3 linked regions of the Styela clava genome follow. The protein of the gene in region 2 purifies or fractionates together with the protein of the main gene of each other region. This does not show direct contact. Links are inferred from orthologs where the notes say so. Each region holds a gene or a part of one and is shown on either strand. Other genes may lie near its edges. The genes, in order: aprataxin-like, DNA ligase 3-like and bifunctional polynucleotide phosphatase/kinase-like.

Evidence for each region.
Region 1: the proteins of DNA ligase 3-like (region 2) and aprataxin-like purify together in Homo sapiens (affinity purification with mass spectrometry; 3 studies listed by BioGRID and IntAct, with this or other methods). This does not show direct contact. The link is inferred for Styela clava from reciprocal best matches to the Homo sapiens genes LIG3 and APTX.
Region 3: the proteins of DNA ligase 3-like (region 2) and bifunctional polynucleotide phosphatase/kinase-like purify together in Homo sapiens (co-immunoprecipitation; 5 studies listed by BioGRID and IntAct, with this or other methods). This does not show direct contact. The link is inferred for Styela clava from reciprocal best matches to the Homo sapiens genes LIG3 and PNKP.

The regions. Positions count from the first base shown.
Region 1 is NC_135264.1:11,771,014-11,779,060, reverse strand, and holds the start of aprataxin-like, read left to right. Parts: upstream 1-4,684; coding exon 4,685-5,013; intron 5,014-5,475; coding exon 5,476-5,630; intron 5,631-6,057; coding exon 6,058-6,314; intron 6,315-6,320; exon of another isoform or gene 6,321-6,976; coding exon of another isoform or gene 6,977-7,086; intron 7,087-7,317; coding exon of another isoform or gene 7,318-7,580; intron 7,581-8,047. Other genes in the region: serine/threonine-protein kinase RIO1-like, read right to left, coding at 1-83, 619-743, 1,329-1,480, 2,656-2,719; small ribosomal subunit protein uS12-like, read left to right, coding at 3,567-4,118; uncharacterized protein LOC120333828, read right to left, coding at 6,977-7,086, 7,318-7,580. UniProt on the Homo sapiens protein: DNA-binding protein involved in single-strand DNA break repair, double-strand DNA break repair and base excision repair.
Region 2 is NC_135256.1:5,969,895-5,977,928, reverse strand, and holds the start of DNA ligase 3-like, read right to left. Parts: upstream 3,295-8,034; 5' UTR 3,217-3,294; intron 2,506-3,216; 5' UTR 2,460-2,505; coding exon 2,443-2,459; intron 1,692-2,442; coding exon 1,535-1,691; intron 728-1,534; coding exon 616-727; intron 78-615; coding exon 1-77. UniProt on the Homo sapiens protein: Isoform 3 functions as a heterodimer with DNA-repair protein XRCC1 in the nucleus and can correct defective DNA strand-break repair and sister chromatid exchange following treatment with ionizing radiation and alkylating agents.
Region 3 is NC_135258.1:17,042,402-17,050,795, reverse strand, and holds the start of bifunctional polynucleotide phosphatase/kinase-like, read right to left. Parts: upstream 3,172-8,394; 5' UTR 2,971-3,171; intron 1,291-2,970; 5' UTR 1,270-1,290; coding exon 1-1,269. Other genes in the region: DNA-directed RNA polymerase II subunit RPB9-like, read left to right, coding at 3,417-3,478, 4,164-4,218, 4,764-4,912, 5,584-5,701. UniProt on the Homo sapiens protein: Plays a key role in the repair of DNA damage, functioning as part of both the non-homologous end-joining (NHEJ) and base excision repair (BER) pathways.

The sequences.
Region 1 (8,047 bases), on a different chromosome or scaffold from region 2:
GCATTTTGAAAAGTATGATTCGAGTTCTTGGATCCATGACTTGTTCAATAGTTGCTCGATCCGATTTGTCTTTTACTCGATTTCTGAAAATTATTGGTTGCAGTAAATAAACTTGAAAATTGGTATTGGTGAAAATTGGTGATTCAACATAACATTTTGATATTGATTATCCAATATTTGCTAAAAGAAAAAAATCACATACACTGTTATTAAGAATCAAACCAAGTACCACATGACGCCTTACTTCCCAAAAACAATTTTTTTTATTACCTACCATGGCGCATAAAACAAATGATAGAAGCACATTAAATAAAGGTATTTTTATAGAAAAAAGGGCCACATTGTAGTCTTTGAAAGGGGGTCATGATTCATGAAAGCAAAGTTATGTTACAGCATCACCATGGTATTCAATAGTTTTCAACAAAACTCACTATTTCACTGAAAAATTAGTGAATTAATATTAATTAATAATATTAGTTAATAATATTAATTAATGGAATTCCTGAAAATTGATCATTTTGAAAGAACATTAAATTTAAATCTTCCAGGCACCTCCCAGTTCTTTGATTTAAAAGGAATAAGATATGAGAATGAGAGAAAGTTTTTGAATAAATTTACTTGTTTTCAACCATTCTTTTATCCATTTGTCGAACTTGTGCGAGATTATGTTGCGGAATACTAGGATGCTCATATGCATCAAGATGAATCTTGTCAGAAAATTTTGATAACATTTTATCCACAGGCTAAAAAACAACAAGAAGTTTATACTTTGCTGAGCACTCTATTTTATTTCAACTATTGGTTCTAAAGAGGGATGGCCAAAATTCGAAAATTCACTATCCTGAATACATTCTGATATAATATTTTCGAATTTGGAATATTGACGTTAATTGGGTCCTCTACTTTCGAAGTTAATGGATATTCAAATGAGTTTAAATTTGAAAATACAGAAGGGTTAAGATAAACAGTGATTTTAGTGGTTCTACGTTTTTTGTTGTAGAATTCAAAAAATTCAATGTCTTTTTGGTCATACTATAATATTTCAATTGCTCAAAATGATGGGTTTTCAGATAAAACTAACTAGGCCTATAATATTCCCAAAATAAAATTATTATTCTCTAAAAATAAAATTTTAAATATCATTTATTTCAAATTAATTGGAATATTCAATTCGACTTGGACATCGTCAGATTTAAACCAATATAGTTAGAGAAATAACTGAAATTAATAAGCCTGTCCCTCAGACATTCAGTGAATCGCCATTCAAATGATCTCTTCCTGAAGCTATACATGTGCTTGTGGCAAAATAATAAATGATCACATCCTACTTGATAAGATTGGTTGGAGGAATACTTGGCGCCGTTTCCTCTGCAATTTTCTGTATATATTTCATCCATTTCCATATAGTTATCATCACTCCAATTGTCATCATCATCTGCTATGTTTGTATTTGAATCGATACATCCTTCTTGAATAGGATCTTAAAATAAAGCATTACATAAATAGTTAATTGTATAAGAGACGCAATAAAATAATGGGCTTCATACATGGTGACACACCGATATGGTAATTTTCAAACGCGGTTAAAAGACACACATTGAAAATACACAAAAATCCAACAATCTCCAAAATGACATATCTTGACTGCTGATAGACAAACGACAAAATGTTGTTTATGAGAAAGTTCTATACATTACTCAACTGATCTACACAAGAATGATGTAGAGTCGGCTCAAATTGAAATAGTATGTCAAAGAGAGGATAGGATTTACATAATCATCCTGGATTAATCATATGGCAAACCACGGCCGCTCAGCCAGCTACAGGTCCATGTCAGGTAGGTATGGTATTAGTTAGCCAGTCATATTTGTTTCAGATGCATGGACAAAAACATAATGTAAAACAATGTTTTTCAAAGTGCAGTATTATTACTAGTATTATGACAAAAATTGATAAGACTATTCTAGCTATTGCTCATTTTAATTTGATTATAACACATTGTACTCTTGTATGTGAATCAACTTGCTGATTGAAATGTTAAAATTTCTGAATTTGGGGTAGATTACAAAACAGTCATTGAAGAATGTGAATGAAACAGCGAAGGAAAAAAAAACAATAATAGAGTACCGTAATAACAGAAAGATGATGATGAGTAAAAATAGAAATACTGAAATAATAATTGGCGCAGCGGTGTGGCTCAACGGGCTAAGCGTTAGGAATACGCTCGCCACCGCACCTCTAATTACTCTGCGTGGGTTCGCAGGTTCGAATCCCATGCAGGGATGGTTATGTGCGAGAGGATTGCTGGACTCCTCGCCGTCGTTGGGTGGTTCACGTAACCGCTGGTCGGTTACGGCTTCCTCCACCACCAAGTCCATGCTTCCGAAAAAAATAAAATAAAATACATTAAAACTAATCCCATACCCGACTTGGAATGCTAACCGGACGAGAGGCCGTGGTTCGCCATGTGGATAAGCCGTCTTATCGGCTTTCCTCTCCCCCGGGATAAATATGTAAATCCTATCCTATCCTAATAAAAGTTACAATGAAAAATATAGAAAAATTCACTTTACTAGCTTTACGTGATACCAGCGACTTAGATTATGATACTTATTTATTATTATGACTGAATGCAAAAAAGATGAATGAACTTACTAGTTTTTGTCATCATTTGCAAATATTCCTCCGCCTGGTCCAAATCATCAAACTGCCCCTCCATACCGTAATACTGTACTAAAGGGTTGGCCAACAACAACAAGGATTCTTTTCTAAAACAATTTGACGCTGCCTAACTGAATATCAGATGTGTAGAATGAAAACGATCAGAATACAATATAATAGCCTATATACAAATATTGAAATAGCCTGCTGCACCAGCGTTTTTCAGTCGCGTGTTTTCTTTTGCACATGTTGTGCAATATTTAATTCTCTGAAACACCAGACTTTTACTCATACGCAAGATGACAGTAAAGAATCGTGAATTACAAATCACGATTTTTGGTCACTGATGACAAGCGCGCAGTACGAAGTGAAATCTTTTCATCATTTGTTTGTCTCGTGCAGCTAATTTTTGGTTTGGTCTTGGAGGATGGTGTGAATATGTTTTGTTGATATTGATAGCATGATGTTTAAGTTTATTGTGTAATAAAGTATTTTTTGACAAATCGAGAAAGAGAGAGATTTATTTTTGTAGACCCGACACTCACTTGGCCTTGGGTACGTACCAGCTTACAGACTTCGGTTACCTACATCACATTCATACATCTGTACAACACCAAACATAGATATGTAAAAATTTTGTACATTTGGAGTAGGCTTATAACAGTATGTTGCACCACAAAGGTGAAAAAGTCTCTTGTTCAAAAGTGTTTCTGGGAGTTTCGCGCAGCTGCAAATTAAAAAAAAAAGAAATTGGGATCAATTACTATTTACGCAAAATCTATACCGTAGCTAGTCAGTGTTCATCATGCTTTCTCACTGCATCTGGAAACAAATGATTATATTTATTTCAAATAGTTTTCAAGTCTTAATTTACATGAAAATCTAACTTCTGAACTTGCCAACTTATGGCGTTCAAAAACTTGATCAGATTGAAAAATACATTGCTCACTGGATGTCTTCATCAAGTGAATAATACTTGCCTAACAAACACATACAATGGTTTACTGGTGAATCAAAGCCAAGCTGTATTAACCACCTTCTTAACTCAGCCTTCTAAGGACTTCCACTCATCTGCAATTGATTTCAAATGGGAAGGCAGATATCGAAACTTTTATCATGCTGATTTATACATGAAAACAGGAAAAATGTTGGACATAATAGCCAAGAAAAAGAAAAAATCAAGAATGGATGGAAAGCCACAAATAAAAGGCGTTGTTTTAAGACTTTTAATTAAAAAGCCGAAAAAACCAAACAGTGCGAATAGAAAATGTTGCAAAGTACGGTTAAGTACCGGAAAAGAAATCATTGCTTATATACCCGGCGAAGGACATAATTTACAAGAAAATAACGTTGTTCTCATCGAAGGAAAAGGACGTAAGGATTTAGTCGGAGTTCACCATAAAGTTATTAGAGGAGCACTTGATTGTGCTCATGTTGTTAAGAAAGAACAAGACTAATTTTTGCTATAAAATACTCGCAAATACTAAAGTATGACAGACAATTTGAAACAATTGAGCTCCTCACAAAATATGAAAATAAAAATTACCGTAGGATTATATGAGAGCGTTAGATAGCTTGGAATTTATATTTTGTGACAATAAATAATACTTAACAATGGCCTCAAAATGTTTGTAATGGTTTAAATTCTGACATATTTATGAATCTTTCATACTGTAGTAAAGAAATGTTTTACTTAAAAAAATCTCTCGTAAAAGAACAGCTAGCCTATTTAACTCTTAAGGATTTTGTCGTTCAACGTATGTGATGTTCCATTTTCACAAGGCTTTACTAGTCTTAAAGTATATGTTAATAAACTTCTAATGCCGCCAATGTTTTATTCAACTCACAAAGTTTTTTTGTGAGTTGAACAAACTTTGTCTAAATTTTTCAATATAAAGATTTAATAATATAAAACATAATTCCTGCCATTTCACACAAAATCTTTTCATATAGAGCCGTGCAAAAATTCATCACTTTTTCAATTGAATTTTACCGAATAACTTCCTTACCTAAGTTGTGATTGATGCTGTTTTGTTCTATCTATTCTATATGGTTCAAAATGCTCTTTACAATGTCAAAATCTAAAATACAAAGATATGAAATTTGTTGTTTTGAGATTTACTATTTGCAAATGCATTTCAAGTTGGAACTTCTTATTTTTTTTAATAGGAATTACCACATTGCTTTATCTCTATCTTTCTCAATGTATTTTCAATGTTGCAATTCAACACATGCTCCGATACTTCTACCAGACGGTTCGCCAGTCATCGTTGGGAGATCAGCAGAGACTAAAATACCTGATAAATTGTGTTCAAGAAATCAGTTGGAATTGGTTGCAAATTACAATCAAAAGTAGGTAGGAATGTGTTATATTTTTGCTGTTATAGATACTGATATATTTATGTTTTGTGAAATTATTATTGACGTTATTTGAATATACTTTCTTTTGTGTATAAAGAGACTTTTTTATTTGCCAATGTTTATGAAATCTGTATCAGGCCATACAGGTATTTTTGAGGTACCTATAGATTTATATTTGGAATATATGCTTATTTGAAAAATGGTCATTTAGACGGAAACATTTGATTCTAACTTGTTTCAAATATAGATTGTCCGCTATTGTGTTTTCTTGCCCTGTCAAATTGGTTTGTAAAAATATTTCTGTTGAAAATGTGTCAAGTATATGATCAATGTTTATTGAGACTTTATAAGACGTTTTTAAAATATGTTTAATTATTTAAAATGTTGTCTTGAAAACCACTTTTCTAGAGTGATTTTATTGGCATCACTAAATTTGTTATTTTTGAACATTAGATATGTTATGGTCAAGCAACTTGGCAGTAATGCATCTCAGATAGAAGGGATTGATATCGGACATAGAAAAACTGACAGACTTCATGCAGGACAAACGTTACACGTCGTTGATATGAAATATCCTCACAAGATTGCTATATGTATCCCTAATTCAGGTTTCATTTTCTATCATATAGTGAATTTATTATTATTAGAGAGAAATGCACTATTATAAGGACATGAAGGTTTTACCAGTAGCATACGTTGTTCAATAAACTAGATTGCTGAAAATATGGGGTGAGGATGGAATTTTTTTAAATTTAGAAAAATGTTGGGTAAAAGACAGTACCTTGATGAGCGCAAAAAAAGTGTTTACGCAAATAGTAGTAGAATTTTAAATAACTAACGCTGTTTAGGAAATCATAATATTCGATTAATGTAGGTTTTTGATATTGATTTATCCAGAGTTTACCGTGATAATGACGAAAAACAATTCTTGTCCCAAAAACAGTGACCTGTACTCATATCCCAATGTAAATTTATTTCTCCAATAATTTCAAAGAAACCACATCGAAACTCTTATGTTCTATAATATTTATTCAGGAACTACATCTTCCAATACCAAGAAAACAAAACTACCTCAGGAGGAAAACACATTCAGCAAACGACAAAAAATGACTGAAAAAGTAGCGAAAAATATTTCCGATGAAGAAAACGAAACAAATTCAAATAATAAAAATAATTCAGCACAAAAACCTTCCTATCATTGGAGTCAAGGTTTGAAAGGATCAATGGATGATCCTAGTTTGAGAGTTTCCAAAGATGATAAAGTTGTTGTCATCAAAGATAAATATCCAAAGGTATGTTGATGCTAATATTATATTGCGAACTAAAGTCTGAATTCATAATTTGCATATGGTAAAAATCCATTGCAGATTTCTATTCAATACTCTGTCACACTGTGTACAAAATACACAGGGTACTGGAGGCTGCTCCACAAAACTGAAAATTAGCATAAACGCAGAAAACACAGCTAATCTATGAAAAATTGATGAGAAATATATTACAACTTATATAAGCAAGAAAACTTTGTCTGTATACCAATTTTCAAAAGAATTTGCTCAAAGTGAAGTCTAACACACTCGCTCTCGAGATAAAAGTGAATCATCTTTCTGCTGAAACCCCCTCTGAATCATCTTCTCATCGTTGTTAGGAAATTTCCTTGCAGAAATTTTCAACCATGAATTATTTGAACTCTGACAAAATTTAACATATTAACCCAGTTGAATGAGGAGTTTTGAGAGGAATTTATGGGTGTGTTTTTGAGTGGTGGAATTTTACAGACACTCTCTCATCATAGCTCATATTGAAACTTATATATATAATTCGACTTATAATTAAAACATTGTCTCTAAACCAAGTTTAATCCTAAATATTCAATACATCATGACTTGATTTTGTGTCTATGATGTCATTTTCAGGTTTTCACTACTGTTTCATACATTTTCTAATATTTAATTAATCACAATGCTGTATCCATATCGTCATGGTAACTTGTATCATTACCCATTGATGCCGTGTCACTGACGTTTTTATATTGTGAGCTGCCCATTCTTTCGTTCTGCAAGGACCCTGAAATTCGAATGGTTTGTCAATTATACATTGCAATACAGAAGAATAAAAGAATAAATAAATGTTGATATATAAGTTTCCAACCTTTTTTTTCAAGCGACCCAAATTTTCAAAAAAATAGATTTAGTAAAATCTCGCGACTCAAGTATAATATGTTCAAATACAGACAGACTAGTATTTATATGTTTAATTTTTGTATCTTTTATTAACATTTTTATTGTATATACTCACCTATTTCTAATTCTATTCCAATTTGATCAATATTGTCTGAGTCAAAAACTGATCCACATTCACTGGAAGCATTCGATGTATTCTTTTCATTAGCAATATTTTCCAAAATGTTTTCATCTTCATTGGGACTTCTGTTTGTATTTGGAAAACCATCTTCGCAATCTTCTGTGCTTTTGTTCTCTTGGTTCAGAGGAGACATTTCTTGCATTTCAACATCTTCCGTCTCTTTTGTGATTTCTGATTCAAGCCTGCTTCCTCTTTTTCTGTATAAATAATAAATGAGATGCATAATGGCTATATTCACATGAAAATTTTAGTATCTAGAACAGACATGTGCAGATTACGACTCGCGGGTCAAATCCGGCCAACTGGGTAATTCAATCTGGCCCGCCTGATGCTGCCACAACTTAACTGGAACCAAATTTTGATGATTTAGTTAAAAATAGGTCAAGGGATTTGTTAAGATTGCGGATAAATTTTGGCACGTGGTTCATTGTTTTCCACTGTTGCTTTTGTAACACTGTGAACATTGTTCATAAAATGTAACTCTTTACGTCATACTTACATGGCCCGCCAGTCTCGGTGGGCAAAATTTTTGTTCCCTGATCTAAAAATCGTGCCCACCTCGATCTAGAATGTCCGTTTTTCCGCCAATAGTAACATTTTAGTCTTTTCTCTTCATTTACAAAGCATAATGACACTATGCTTTATTTTTCTGATTCAAATATTG
Region 2 (8,034 bases):
TTGTTTCTTCGGTGTTGCTTTCTTTCCTCCACCACGAGGTGACTTGGCCTGCTTTTCAGCTTGTTTTGCACATAATTCTGTAGGTTGGAATAAAACAATGCTACATGTGAAGGACCAGTTGACCAAGTTTTGTGATTATCGTTATATCAGATAAATATGAGTTGACTTGAAAGTCACAATATGTTTATGTGGGGATAATATTCTTGTGAGAAGTAGGTAAATGAAAATAATGGTGTGGTTAAAATGCTTAGTATGTTGGCGTCATATGCGACACAAATCTTTGATTCTATCCCCATGCCAACCATCCTAACTAAAAGTGTAATAGATTCGGTATGATAAACCAAACAAAATTTTCTAAAAAATAAATGTGCCAGAATTCTTCGGATTCGGTCCCATCTCACAAAGGGGGAGAGATAGAAATATATTGGTCTAAGTCACTTTCCACAGTCCGGCTTTATTCCGGAGGAGAAATTTCCCCCTTTTTTCCAAATCACCCGAAGAGCCTGATTTGAACCGCAGGCCGTGGTTTGCCCATGTCAGATTTATAACATTCATGTACCAATACATTTCCGTATCTTAAGACCATATAACAAAAATTCTGTTATCAGTCATTACCTGCAATCAATTTCTTTATTTGATTTTTCTCATCATCTTCCATGTCTGCGAAACCCTCCAAGTCACTCGGATCTTCAATTTTCTTGGTGGTTGCTCGTGCTCGAGAGAATACCTAAGCAATGGGAAAATACACTTTTGACTATAGTGAAATATGTATCAAAGCTCACACAAAAGAATATCAAGTTATTCAGTTGAAATTAAAGCAATGTTGAAGTTTCCGTAAATTGAGTTTGAAACATTCATATATTTGATGACAGTTGCATATTCTGTGGAATGGGAATTGACTACATTAAAAAAGTGGAAACTAGGGTAGTAAAAGTCATAAGTATCAGATATTGACATGTAGGACACAGGGGGTATGAATTAAATTATAACCAAGATGAGTGCGCTTATGAACAAAAGTGTTTCAATGACCAAATGATTTGAATCACAGCACTCAAGAGCTAAATAGGCCCGGTATAGACTGTGTTTTGAATTTGGATGGGTACGAAAGTTTGATCAAGTACCAGTACTACTTGGATTGAGTGTATAACGTAGAATTCATTGTCAAATTAATGTCGTATATGTGTTTACTTACAAATGATATGAACTTTGAGTAGAAACTAATGCAGATAAACGTGTCATTTCATGGTTTTAGAAAAATAATGACTCGAGTCATAGCTTTTCTTCTCATTAATTTAACTTAATTCTTGAAACACTAATAACATAAATAATTTAAAGTGCACTAAAAACATAAAAATTACATTGTAATGAACCAACTGGTGATTCCACTTCAATACTATTTGTCTTCTACCGTAACATAAAACAAGTATGCTATAAATAGCAGCATATGCACATGCCAGGTGAAATGAGACGATTCCGACTACTCACGGTTCAATGATTTATATAGAAGTAGAAAAGACATTAATGTATCACAAACCTCAAACATGCAGTTTATATGATGATACATTTTCATTTCGCCGTCCCCATCGTTGAAAAAATTAGGAGTAACCTTGGCGATTCTGGCAACTCCTTTGTCTATTGGCTGTTTGCACTTTTTGCAATTCGCTTTTCGTTTCGCATAATCACATGTGAATCTGTTAAATATATTATGAATAGGTGAAGAGTTGAAACTGACATAATCAATTGCTGTGCAGGGAATTAATAACGCTGAAAAATAGTCTTTACTGATAGCAAACCTTATGGCACATTGGGCAATTTTGCTATGCATTAGGTACATATTTGTCATTAATTACTATAGGGGTTATCACAATTGAATTGTGCGAGTTGATGGGGGTAACTACATGTAGGATAATTGGGTCTCTCGAAGTACTTGCGTACTTCGGCTGGCTCCTGGCTCAACAATTTTTGAATACGTCATTCCTAACCCCCACCTGACTATGCTATCGAAAATTACATCACTGCGTCACATAATAAAGCCCCTCTAAGCACTTATGGGCACATACTCAGACTTCTGGAGACCCAGATAATTGCTGGGTTCGTTGAGTTAGTTCAAATAGCTGCTAGTGGACAATTTTTTCCAACATCCAAGTGGCCCGTTCAAGCAAGAACTATTTCTGTACTTTCATATAGAAAGACCGAGCCCACCAAAGAGACATTTATTAGTTTTATTTTTCGTTGGTGAACTAGTATGGAGAATGATGCTTAATACAGTAATAGGATTTAATGGTACAATGGTATAAGATGAACACTATGAGATATGTGCTCCACGGCAAAAATTAGCACACTATGCCAAAATAGCCCTGCAAATGCACCGACATTCAGAGTGAACGGGCTCGATAAATCGCAACAAAGTAGGACTGTAAGATGAATGCATTTGAAAGTTACCTTGTAGAATCAGACATGATGTTGGGAACAGTCAGAAAATTGAATCTTTGCCAAATATGTGATCTGAAATCAGGAAATAGAAAATTTGAAAATATTAACAATATGATATAAAAACGCAGAATGGAAATTTTGGTCCACGAAGTCAATTTTAACTGAGATGTAGAATTCTGAAATAGCGAACTACGGTACCAATAATAAATTTGAATATAGTAAAATCAGGAATAGGTATCTGGACGAAGGACTTTTCTTAGCTATTACCGATACCCGGTTACAACTATCGGTACCATAACAGAGATTAAGTCATTTTTTAATCAAAATCCTGCAATTTGTCTGTGCAGAAATTTGGCTGTGCCTGTACACACGTTTGGACGTAGCATCAGCTCATTACTTTAGATACAAAAACATCCCTCATTCAGTTATTTTTGCAAATTTACCTTATCTTTTAACTGTCAGAAACCAGCATGAGGCCCACAAAACTTGAAATAAGTTCATAACGTATTAGACGAGTTCACTCAATGAGGAGGAAAGAAACCAAATCACAACAAACAAATATGAACATAAACGATTGGTCATTATTCGGGCGTCTAACTTCATAATCAAATTACATGAAATTACTTACAAACAATGTAGTGAATAGCGGCTGTGCGTGTGATGAGTGAGACGGGATTCATAAAACGATATAGACAAGTGTGGAAGTGTATAAGATCAGGAGATAAAGTGTATTAAAGTGTTGCAGCATTGCAAACTAGCAATTTACAAAGCAACGCCACCTACCTTTGAATGCACGCATTGACTAAACAGCAACGCTGAAAACTGGAAGAAGCGAATCAGCTATCATCATTGAGGTCAATGGCTTTTATACGTTTGCGTTTGTTGGTTTGTTTTGAACACGTGACGCCGAAAATATTGCGCCACGATGTTGCGCCACCAAAGTGTACTATGCCTTCCTTACATCTACTTGTTGAAATATGGCTGATGACTCGGTCTTGGATTCATTTTGAAATGAATACTACCGTGCTTCCCAAAAAATAAGACCTAGCCTGGATTTTAAAAATGACCTCTATGTAAGCTTTTCCTTACAATAGGACCTAGTCGATAGCGGAATTTTATTTTGGCCTCGTCAATAAGCAAGAAATCTCTCCTACACGTTTTAAAATTTAAAAGAATAATCTAAACCGCATGAGAGAAAAAAGCGTGGTATTTATAAGTAAATGGATATCGGTTTTAATAATTTGTTTATCCGAAAATCTCGTGTTATTTCCCCGAAGAAAATTGAAATAATACCCTGGGAAAACGGTAAATTATTTAAATTGATTAAAATAAGTCCAAATTATAGAAGGAATAAACACGAGGGCGTGTGGAGCACTAGAGGCTTTTGGCTTAGAAATGTGAGGTCACTGTAGTTGAATATATATATATTCACTTTGGTACCGACCGCCGTCGCATGCGGACGTGGCTACCTCGAGCCGAAGATATGCATTCGAGAAGTGAATCTCAGACTAAGTGACATCAATAAACAAATAACAGAAATAGCAGATTTTTGAATGATGGACTGAAAAAATGTGCAACATGGGTGCAAAATGGAAGATTTTTAAATATATTATGAAAATAAGTTCGGACGAAATTATGCTCTGCTCAAATATGTGACCGGATTAGGGTTGCCACTTCTGGATACATTTTTTTTCGAATCGAATCTCGAATCAAAACTTTTCGAATCGAATCTTTCCGAATCTGATTCCATTAAGCTTTTTTTTTTTTATTACATGCGTATGTTTGGCCAAACTCACAAAAAAGCTCAAATCTAGAAGAAAAAAATTTGAAAATGGAATAGGCTATATAGCAAGGGTGATGAGGGTTTTTCAGTGAACAAGCCACACTTATTTTCATCATGATAAAAAGATGTAGGTCATAGATATCACTAATAAATGCATTGATGAAAAACTTGCTGTTGCAACTTATCTGTGAGTCTTACAATACTGAGTTATTGTGTTATACTTGTATCAGGGCTGAGGCAATTTGATGGAATTCATATAAGAAAATAAGCAGGGAACAGTTGTACTGTTATGTCGTAAACACAGTAACATCACTGCTTTCCCTTGTCCCACACCAGTATATGTGACCGTGGTATTTCCCTTCTTGTTATATTGAATCAGGGACGGCCTTATTACCGATTCTTTATCTTCAAAATCTTAGTACAATATTTTATATTTATGCTAGCAGCATAGAGTAATACGACAAAAACATTCTAATTGCATCTGAATTACTATAAATGGGAAATGCTTACAAGAATATGATTGAAGACGATAAAATTAACCACGATTAAATTAAATTAATTTCGATAAAAACAATCGTTCATCCGACTACGATTGCGAACAAAAATTTCCATAAATATTAGAGACAGTATTATTTGTGGCAAACAGCGTTATTGGCTAACTCGGGCTTCATTATTAATGTGGACTACGTTTAATTTCGTAATTCAGAAAGTCCAAATGTGCATAATGGACGCCGCGCTGACGAGCGATAATTGGTTGACGCTTTATCTCGATCAAACATGGTCGCTGGGGCTAAAGTAAGACGACATTCGCACCGTATGCTCGGTCTGGTATGAAATCTGCCACGTGTTGATGTAAAACAGTGCACAAGTTGCCATTCCTCAAGTATTATTTACTCCCACCTGTCCGTTATGACATTTGCTCGAAATAATCCGAAATGTTTTATCCGCTTGTATCGCGCTAACAAAATTAAAAGTAAATACTATTTTTTTTTGGTAACAGCTGGAAAAAGACGTGTATGTACTATTACATTATGTCCCCCTGATTTCGTTTACCGCCACTCGAGTGGAAGCCTGACAAACGCAAACAAAATAAAAATATATTTTAGGATGAGATACATGATTGTAAATTAACATTGCCGGCCGATGAACTCATTCAGCAATAGTTCTCTTCAAATGTACGCGAAATATTGCTCTCAGAACAAAGTTTAAATTAAATTTCAATCAAAATTAAACATTATCTAGACGTCGGTAGCCGATTCTTTATCCAATCATGCCAGGGCGTACAATAACTTAGTGGCAGCGCAGGTGTGCTGTTGAAAATTTTCATCAAAATTGTCACGAATTTCCAGGTATACGATCCATTTGAATTCGCGCATAATGGGAACTTCGGCTATTTAGTGGAAAACTGAACTCGCAGTTTGCTGGTAATTACGCCACACATCATCTCGAGTGATGCGTAAAAGAGTGTGTTGTGTCGAACTTGAAACAAATGACGGCAGACAAGTAAAAAAGTCAATCACGAAAAATTCATTTTCATTTATTTACGTCCCGTAATTTGTTGCTATTTGGAGTGCCGCATAAACGCATTCGGCAGTTTAAACGCCACCGAAAACAACGATTAACAAATATTCAATGTTATTCTTTCGGTCCCGTAATTTGGTGGTATTTGGAGTGCTGCATAAACGCATTCGGTAGTTTTAACACCGCCGAAAACAACGATTAACACACGTTCAATGTTTTTTTTTCGGTCCCGTAATTTGGCGTTATTTGGAGCGCCGCATAAACACACTCTGGCAGATTTAAAGCCGCCGAAAACGACGATTTAACAAACGTTCAATGTTTTTTTTTCGCTAAATCGCTCTCTTTTTCCGAATCGCGTAAATCTGATTCGAATCGATTCGGAAAAGATGCGATTCGAATCGATCCGATTCGTAAATCCGAAAGTGGCATCCCTAGACCGGATATACAAAAGTTAAACTGCACGAACTGATATTTGAAAATTTACATTCAATTTTTACATCGGTATGTTAACGTTTTAGTGGATTTTACTAGATATATGTTTAAGCATGGAACGGAAACATGCATTCGCACCTCATTCTAGGATTTTTCGGGTTGTTTGTTTACATGCCGCATCCCACGCACAGCGGATATTTAATTCAATGTTTTGTTTTTTGAAAAAATTCCACGCAACCTGATTACCAAGTGACACGCGTGGGTAATGACCGCCGTCAATATTCATGTTTATTTGTTTGTGTTTATGACTTGTTTTCTTTCTTCTTTAGTAAGTGAACGCGTTTTATACGTTTTAAACTTATTTTATTGGGTTTTGTTCACTTTCCAGATTATTCGTCTTAATCTTTTGTGTATATATGTTTATTTTGTTTTATCGAATGAATCGAAATAAAATCTTATCTTATATATTTCAAGTTCTGTGACACAGTAGACTACTGGTTGCGATGTCATAAAAACGTGGAAGACAGCCATCACGATGTCCTAAAAACGTGTTCCCGGAATTAAAAATTATGCAATACATTTTAGATGAAATATCAGATTTAGGACCAAATAAAAGTAATAGCCTTCTAGCGAAAAATATAATCTTTACCCAATGAAATTTTAAATCATTTGGTAATAACGATAAGAGGGAAATTTTTAACAAAACAAAACGATCCATGGGTCCACTATCGTGTTTCCCGGAAATTAAGACCTACCCTGAATTTTAGAAATGATTTTACTATAAGCAATGAGCATATATACAATGAGTGGAAACTTGCAAAGATTTGCTCATTGTGGCATTGTTCCCTGCATTTTTACGTCGTCCAGCTAAATGGTTCGTTGCATATTAAGAAAACGCATTGCTCGCTGCCAAAATCCCTTGCTTCAGCTCAGTCGGGTGCGAAATTGGCCGTATTAACTTGACTTGAGGTCTTTAATTCTTCAATACATATTTGATTTTGGGTTTCGAAGTATGGTACGCTGAAAGCATACAACTATGAGCATATTGGGAATGCATATCTATTAGACAGGAAACGTATCTACAGAACAGAATATGAACCAGTCGCCGAGAGGAGTGCGGTTATTTATGTATTTATTAATTGATATAACATGGGAATTACATATTTATCCAAGGGGAGAGGAAAGCCGAAAAGAAGGCCTAAATATATGGCGAACCACGGCCTCTCTCAATCATAGCTCTGTGCTCCATATGAATCACATGGTTCTGTGAGCTATTCGTTTACTTATTAAAAATACTGATTTTAACTATAAATTACTCTGGGATATCTTGCCATTGAAAACAAAAGCCAGAAATTGGAAGAAAAGCAGGGAATGAAATGTGTGTATTATGTAATGGAGAACCTGAGTTTGTTTCACATATTTTCATGTATTGTGAATTTACTAAAAATATTTATGAGGATTTTGTTTTAGTTATATTAAAATTGATCAGAATACATTTTGTTATCAATATGATTCTTGCATATTATTTAATTTTAACGATTCTTTATATAGTCGTATAGATACTGTTGATTCGGATGCAATTATACTTTTGTAATCAATAGTGAGAAATATTTCATGACTGCTATTAACTATGTGAGCTATTTTTTCTGCAATGCAAAATATTTCCTTCGTCTGCTATTTACTATGTGAATTAATTTTTCTGTAATGTAAAGTATTTCCATAACTGCTTTTACTATGTGGGCTGTTTTTTCGGTACTCGTAGTATGTGTACCAGGTTAGGTTACGATTCTCCTTATTTTTGTTCTATTAAAAGTTCGGGAATTGTCTGTGTTACACAAGTGAATATCCCCCTACCGATAGAATTT
Region 3 (8,394 bases), on a different chromosome or scaffold from region 2:
AGAAACGGTAGACTTTCCGCTGGCTGGATACCCAACCATGATCACAACTTCTTGTTTTTTGCTGATCAGCTCATCCATGTTTTTTATTAAAACTTTGTTGTCGATGACACTTTTTGGATCAAATTCAGGCATGTTGAATTTAACAGGCTTTTGTGAAAGAAAATATTCCTCGGGAGTTTTGAAATCAATTTCCAAATTCATAGCAAATAATCTATCAGTACACGAAAAATCTTTTTTCTTTTTTGGAGCCCAATCTTTTGGGCGGCCAGCTGCATCTCCGACATAATAACTATGAGACATATCAATCGGTATTCCCCCATTACCTTGTTTTGCCAGCCAAGTCCATGTTCCAATGTTAGGTTTTCGAGACGGACCCTTTTTCGTAATTGCTATCACCTGAGCTTTAATACCAAGCTTTCCCAAAATGTTTTCGACTTTGGTTTTGAAATCCTTTGGTTGAAGTTTACCTTTCCCAATCCCCAGTTGGTTGGTTATTATCACTATTTTATATTGGTCATTTTGAAGCTTTTTCAATTTTCCTGGTACTTCGGCGTAAAGTATCTTCCAATCATTATGATCTTTTGCAAATGTCCTACCCGATGCTGTTGTTATTATTGTACCATCCATATCAAATGCTGCTATTTTTGATGAATTATACAACTGCGGAGAATGATAAATTAATAAGCCTTCTTTTTCTTCCCAACCAACTGGATAGTCAGATTTTATCCATCCTCTAAATACATTTTTCTCTCTACCACCATCTTTTGATTTTTCTGTTTTCACAATGGATAGACTTTTGCTTTGTAAAAATTTGAGCTTTTCCGCAACTTTATTTTCATCATCACTCTGATCATCCGATACCTCATCTTCATTTACCATTTTGGCTTTTTTTGGTATTGGTGTTTCCGTTTTGGATTCTGAAGAACTAGGCCCAAAATATGAGTCGATTGTTCGTTTTTCAGCTGTTGTTTTTTGCGTTTTAATAATTTCATGTGGATATTGTTGAACAACAAAATAGAAAATATCACCAACTTTTAACTTCTTCTCGTGTCCTTTTGCAATCTCTTGTTGACCAATCATAGACGGGTTAGTTCCAAGATGTTTCAAAGTGACGCTTTCTTTTTCATAGTTTGCTGTTAATTCAACTTGCTTTCTTGAACAAATTTTCTCAATGATTTTAGTTTGTGGACTTCTTCCTAGTATGACAGGAACACCATTTGGTAATGGAATAGGTTCGTGTCTATCATTACAGCACCTCAATTGAAGCATTATACAGAATTATCTATGACCCTATAATGAGAGAGTGATAATAATTTATTTCCGAATTTATCATCAATGTACACATTGCAGTAAAAAGAATAAACAGTAATCATGAAATATAATCGCAAAGGGGCGGGTAAGACTGCAAGGTTAACAAGATCGACCGACCCCTAAAGAAAATTCTTATTAGGATGAGGCACGCAATCAATTACAATTATTTGTTCATAGCCTATAAGGTCAACAAAAGTTATGTTTTTTTTATGTTTAACTCGTATTATTGCATTCCATCAAGAGCTCAATTGAAACATATTATGTCATTATTATTGTAGTGAAAAAATATTTTTTAAATTTAAGCCTGTTAACCCTTTCCAGGCGGTGGGCACGTATACGTACCAACGACAAAACTCGCTAGATCACGGCGGGTACTTCAAGTTACCCATAGTTTTATTTAGCAATCGGTCGCAAATTGTTGGTCTAGTTTATCCGGGTTTTAGTTTATTGATAAGAAGTCTTCTTCGAGATTAACATAAGCGACGATAAATCTCGCTTTTGTTTACAACGGGAATTTTATTTGCGGCGGAACGAGGGAGTGATTTTGAAATTTATGCAAATTTCTGTGTTTTTTGGGTGGTAATAGAAGACATATTATCCCTTCCATCTACCAAAGGATTTTGAGTTAGATCACGAAATTGCTACAGCAATATTATGCTATTGTTTGCCAACCACGAAGCGGTAACAGTAAAGGGTTTAGCTAATATTTCTATTTTTTTATCACGGTTTGAAGTTTCAACTCCCAAGAAAAAAAAATGCCCTTTTTCTATCCGGTTTGTGACTCAGACCACCACATTTTAAAAAACTTTTTTTTTTAATCGCCAACTGCAAGCTCTTTAAATAAGCTTTCTAACGAGTCGTCAGTGGGCAGCAGAGGATCATTAGTTTTTCATTAGTCGATCGATTAGTTGTGGGGGTACAAATGCATAAAATCAGCGTAGCAAATACGATTATTTAATAAAAAATAAAAATCGCATTGAAAGGGTTAACGAGCCCTCAAAAAATTCAATTCCTTTTTATAAACATAAGAGTTCAGGCACTTTTTCAGGCACATTAATTTTTTTTTTCTTTTTTTTTTCGTAGTTCATTGGGGTTAAGTTTTATTAGACCTTGAATGAAATTGTACATTAAAAAAATGCAATTTTTCAATTTAATAAGGTATAATTAATTTTTCAATAGTAAAATATGGCAACACTCAATACAAAAAGAGGCACTCGTGAAACTTCAGGCACTTTGTAAATACCTAGATATGTCCTAATGTTAATGATTACTTTAAAGCAGAAAAATCAAAAATAAAGAAAGCAGAAATGATGGAAATTATGTTTTTTCAAAGTGCCTGAAATTTCAAGAGTGCTTGATTTTCTGCTCAGGGTTGCCATATTTTACCATTGGCAAATTGATTATAGTCTGCCTCATAAAGTTGGGAAGTTTGATCCTACTTATACAACCATATATTATTGTTCCATGCGATATAGAAATGCACATGTTTATTCAAGAGACCGAAATCTTAATAAACTACTGAAAAAAAAATCATAGTGCCCACAATGGTGTCTAAAAAAATATTACTGTTTTAGGGAGCCCCGAGGAAAGGCGATGACACGTTTAACAACCCTATTGAGTGCGAATTATTTATAGAAAAAATAAAACAGTTATACAAACCATTAAATATACATATGAAATCCAATGTTGACAATCCAGTATGAAATTTTCTCTAACCGGCCAGCACCTGAATCAGCAAATGCTGAAATGTCAACGTCCGGACATCACAATGATCATTGCGCCATCTTTCGTAAGGTGTTCGAGTAACAATGTAAAAAAAAAAATATTACAAATCTCATTCTGTCGTGCTGATTTTGGAGTCGAAATAAACTTATACTGTACTAGTAATAAATGCGAATCTTTTCCCGGTAAATCATAACGACATAGGTCAATTCCGTTGACAACGGGAATTCCCCTACTGTGTATGATGTGCCGGTACTGCTCTTTAGCGCCTCACAATTTACATATTGTTCGGTTTTGTCCGCCTGTCTTGTGTGTTCATTGTCTGTTCGCTACAAATCATATTTCTGTATTTCTGGAGCATAATTGTGCAGCTCGTCATCAAAATGCAAGAGCACGTTAACCAAAAAGGACCTGGTTTTGTTGGAATCAAATTTTGTCAAGAATGGTGAGTTTACAATGTCTAAATCTTTTCCCAGTTCCTACAGTTTAGTCTGTTAGTTGGGTTGTGTGTAAGCGTTGGCATATTGGGTCTGGAATAGTTTAGTACTACATGCACTTCTAGTTGGCCTGGCTCAACAATTTTTGCATATGTCATTTCTAACCCCCACCTGACTACGTCACCAGAAAATCACGTCCTTGCGAATTCACAGTGGCGTAATAAGGCCCACCAAAGTATGAGGATGGTCGTCCAAAACGTGCAGACAATCACTCGAAATCGAGCAATCCATTTTTCTCGTCGCAATGATCACGATATGAGAGAGTTCGTCGGCGCTAGCAAGTTTGTTATCTGAGGCGCAGATGCCATTTCGGGCGATCGTAGTTATGCTTTGGCAAGCTCTGATGATGACTTCCTAATGACGTAATTTTTGGATGGCATATTCAGGTGGGGATTAGGAATACTATATGCAAAATTCGTTTTGATACGCCACCTGCTTTGAAGTGGATAAAAAATTTTTACATACAGACATATGCAAATACACTCAAATGAACCACATCTGACGGTGGTTGGCTTTGTCATTTGCAATTTCTGAGATCAGGAGATATAATTCTATGCTTTTCAAATGATGAATACAGACATATATTAGTGCGTCTCATTAAATTGTTACTAAATTAATATTACAACTTTTTAGCAACAACATGCTCTATCCAAAAGAAGACAAGCAGAACAGAATTCTACTCTACTCAGTGAGATAAGCTAATGAATAGAATATAGATATAGGATAATTCTTTTCGAACTACCTATGTCCGTGTACTCCTTACTTGAAATGAATATTATTATTTAACCCAGTAGATGAAGTTGCACTTGCACATTCCCAAACTTTTTTGGGCATGAACCATTTTTGAAATGAAATGAATCGCAGCCGACTCAAGACATGAAAATTATACAAACGTTGATTTTACCAAGTTTGTTTATTATTTGAGATTATTACATACGATAAATACCATTTAGAAGTTAATGTTTTTTCAAACCCCTAAGCTTTGTGCTTATTGCTTTTTTTTCCTGATATCTTCGCAACCTCGACAAGGTTCAAGGCTCAACAAGGCTTTTATGTACGAGTCCACGGTCCTGGGGTTGGGAATCACTGAGTAAACATTCTGGTTTTACAATGTGCACCTGAAATTGTTTGTTTAATATCCCACAAAATCAAGAAATCATATCAGTTGTTAATGATTTTTGAAGAAGTTTAGTTCAAGTTTTATATTTAACTGAGCCTTATGTTCTCTTTCAGTGTCGTAACTGTGACTTTCAAATGGAAGCTGACAATGCATGTATTTATGTAAATAAGATTGTCCATGAAGTTGATGAATTAACACAAATCATTGCTGATGTAGCACAAGATCCAACTTTGCCACGAACAAAGGATCATTCATGTCCCAAGTTAGTTTATAGTTACAATGTATATTTCAAATTTTTTTTCTTATAATTACCGTGTTTTTGATTGGATTAGATCCATCGATCATAAGGTAGGCTTTTATACATCTTTATGAATGTCATAGCATATCTTGCAGATCTGCTGTTCATCTAATAATTAGGATTTATTATCAGATATGCAGAAATGGTACGTATCTATACGTAGATGCGATAAGTTGTACAATCTAACAATAATTCTGTATCACAGTTTGTTACTGCCTACCAACCTATTTTCTGCCAGGTGTTTTATGGAAAAGAAATTCAATTGTCTGATTTTCCAATGCTTGTGGTATTAAAATGTGGGAGGGAGCATCTGCTTGTATCAAAACAAGCTCGAAGCTATCATTGCTAAATAAATGAGTCAAGACCAAATTTAATTGCAGAAGATTTGTGGTGTTTTGTAAGCCGTGAAAGATTTTAGTTTCGAACCAGCTCACAAAAAAATATTTATACAAATTTGTTTGTAAGCGGATAATGCTTTATTAGGTTCAAGTTTATGGTCTAAAGTTGTCATCAGAAGAAAAAAACAGTAGAAAGATAATACTCTTGTGATAGTTATGGCTAGGCAACTAAAGTTGATGAGAGACCTGATTATTCTTTCACTTTGCTTCTATCCTTTTCCATTTTATATTTTTCAGATGTCAGCATAAAGAAGCTGTATTCTTCCAATCTCAATCAACAAGAGCAGAGGAAGGCATGAGACTTTATTTTGTTTGCACAAACCCACAATGTGGTCATCGATGGACTCAATTGTAATCTATTCCATCAAATTGTGCAATACTTGAATGCAATCATACATCGATACATGCACAAGGTGAATGAAACATCTTTTGGTCATCAAAACGACCAACATGAATCCATGAGGACCTCTCACTAATAAGAACTGACAAAGCCTATGGAATCGGACAGGGTTGTGTGCTTGTTGCTAAAGATTTTGTGTTACTATTTTTACCAGCTTTTTTCATTAACAAACCAAATCTTTGTTGCAAGCTCTACACCTATAAGCTCTTGTATATTGACATTTATTATGGTATGTTTCACCAAATTTTTAGGAAATATATGCTAGGAATCCCATATCAAATAGGTACGCAATGTTGATGAACGATGATTCAACCATATAACTGCTCCATTGAACGAAATCTATAAGTTATAAAGACTTTCATTATGCATGTTATTGTGAATACTTGTAGTAGAACCCGTTTGCTACAAAGGTAAAATTCGTCTTTAAATTTCAAAAATACAATGAATAAACTTTTTCTATTAAATGATTGGGCGGGCATGTGATGCCAGAACAGATGAGAAAACAAATGCGGTAGAGTTGTGTACATTCTAGCCAAAATAGTTGATTTGAAATATATAGCGGGATGAGCATGGCATTAATTGTTAAAGATTCAAGCCCAAACCTGTTCCTCTGGTGCATGATTCTCTAGAACTGTGACTTGAAACCGACTGTTCACACCGAAAGTGTTGGGACCCCTTATAAAAACCAGTCAATTGTGTACAAATAGTCCCTAACATAAACAATGCTTCACATTCAAAGTGCACTCAAAATTGGAGGATAATGGAGATTCGTGTGAAAGCGCCGAATACCCTTTTCAACTGGCTCAAACGGGCCAAATAAACTATGATAGGTCAAGAGTTGCCCTTAATTTGTTCTGTTATGTTATCCTGGACCACAAGAACATGTTCTCATTTGACTATTTTTTCAATCTTAGCATACAAAGCGCATGGGTCACAATCTTCTTGTGACATCTCCGTGTTCCTGAAGTTGCCATGCACTGCTTTTATCTGTGAGGGTGTATTCTAGAATTTTTGCATTCACTTACACATCCAAGAACTAATAATGTTGCAGAAAGTATAGTCAGGCTATCGCATTGTGCGAAGCTTAGGAATATGCATGTCACCACACACCACACCTCTGACTACCTTGAGTGGGTTCGAATCCCATAGGAATAAATATGTGTGAGCTCACAGCTTCTCCTGCCATCAACTCCATGCATTTGACACAAGAAGCTGGTTAACTATTTACGGACACTGATTGGTTACAGGATCACTGTAATTTGCCATACTACCGAACCTGCACGATCCATACAATTGCACAAACTTATTGCCCTTTTCAGTTTTTATTGAAATATTTTCAGCAATGAAATCTAATGGTAGTTTTAGCGACAGTTAACGCATCAAAATCAAAAAGAATGTAACAGTTGCAAGCAAATAATATTAGCATACATGGTTTCAATTTAACTACAGATAAATCAGATGGAAACCGAAAATATGAACCATCTTTGTATTAAAATTATTTAGTACGAGATGTTAAAATAATCATAGCTTTACCCTGTTGTATTAGTAATTAGATATGGGTTATTAAAGCAACAAAAAAATCAACACAGGATTGAATAAGTGATTATGAGAATCATTGAACATATCGACATCTAGCTAATTCAACACAACTAGACTAAGAACAACCAATTTTTTAAGCAAAACAAGCATAAATTTCAGTTAAGAGGGAATGTTTATTCTTAAAAGCAATGTAAGGTATTGGAATAGGCCATAGAAACTGATATAATAGCAAGAAAAAAAGTCATTCAATTTTTTAATTATAAGTGGAATACTTCACCTCATTTACATGAAAATTTTAATACAATCCAGAAATTCATCATATACTTAATAAAACTTCAAGAATCATCCCATAAAGCACGAAAAATTTGTTAGTAATTTAAATTCAGCCTGAAGGATAATTTTTTATTATCTATATAGAGCAGTGAAAACTATTGGGTTAGTAATAAAGGTCAATTTTAAATTTTACTCCCTATGGAAACACAAAAAGTTTACTAAGCCTTTTCAACAATCAGGCTATGACAGAAGCCATGCATGCACAAAAGTTTTTATTATTCTAGTCAAACTTTTACAAACTGGGGAGTCGAAGTCAAAATTGTTTTAACCCAGAGTCTGAAATCTATTGTGGTATTTCCCAGCCGCATGAATGCTTCCCTTGCCGCTAATTTATAGACGGTCAATACAGTTTTTCATGAAGTGTCATATTTTCTAATGATGAATTTCTGAAAGTACAGGCAATATATAATAAGTCTGGTATTAACATTCTTTTATATTCAGTATTATATTAATAATGTATTTATTGGAAAAAAAATGTAGATTATATGTGAAAGCAAAAAAACAACAGAAAAATTCGCTTGAAATACCATGAAACTTAACAATAACAAAAAATAATTACTGTTTTGCTACACGGAGCTAAGGTAAAGATGACAATGACTTATTTCACAGAGGGTCGTGGTGGATTAAACACGGTGAACAAAATACATCTGATTGGAAGCTAAAAAAAAAGTGAACTATACGTAGGTACTGACACTCAACCTATTTCAATGCATCGATATGATCTATATATTCTGGTAATATCCCCTAATAAATAAAATTTAAGTTCAAAACTACTT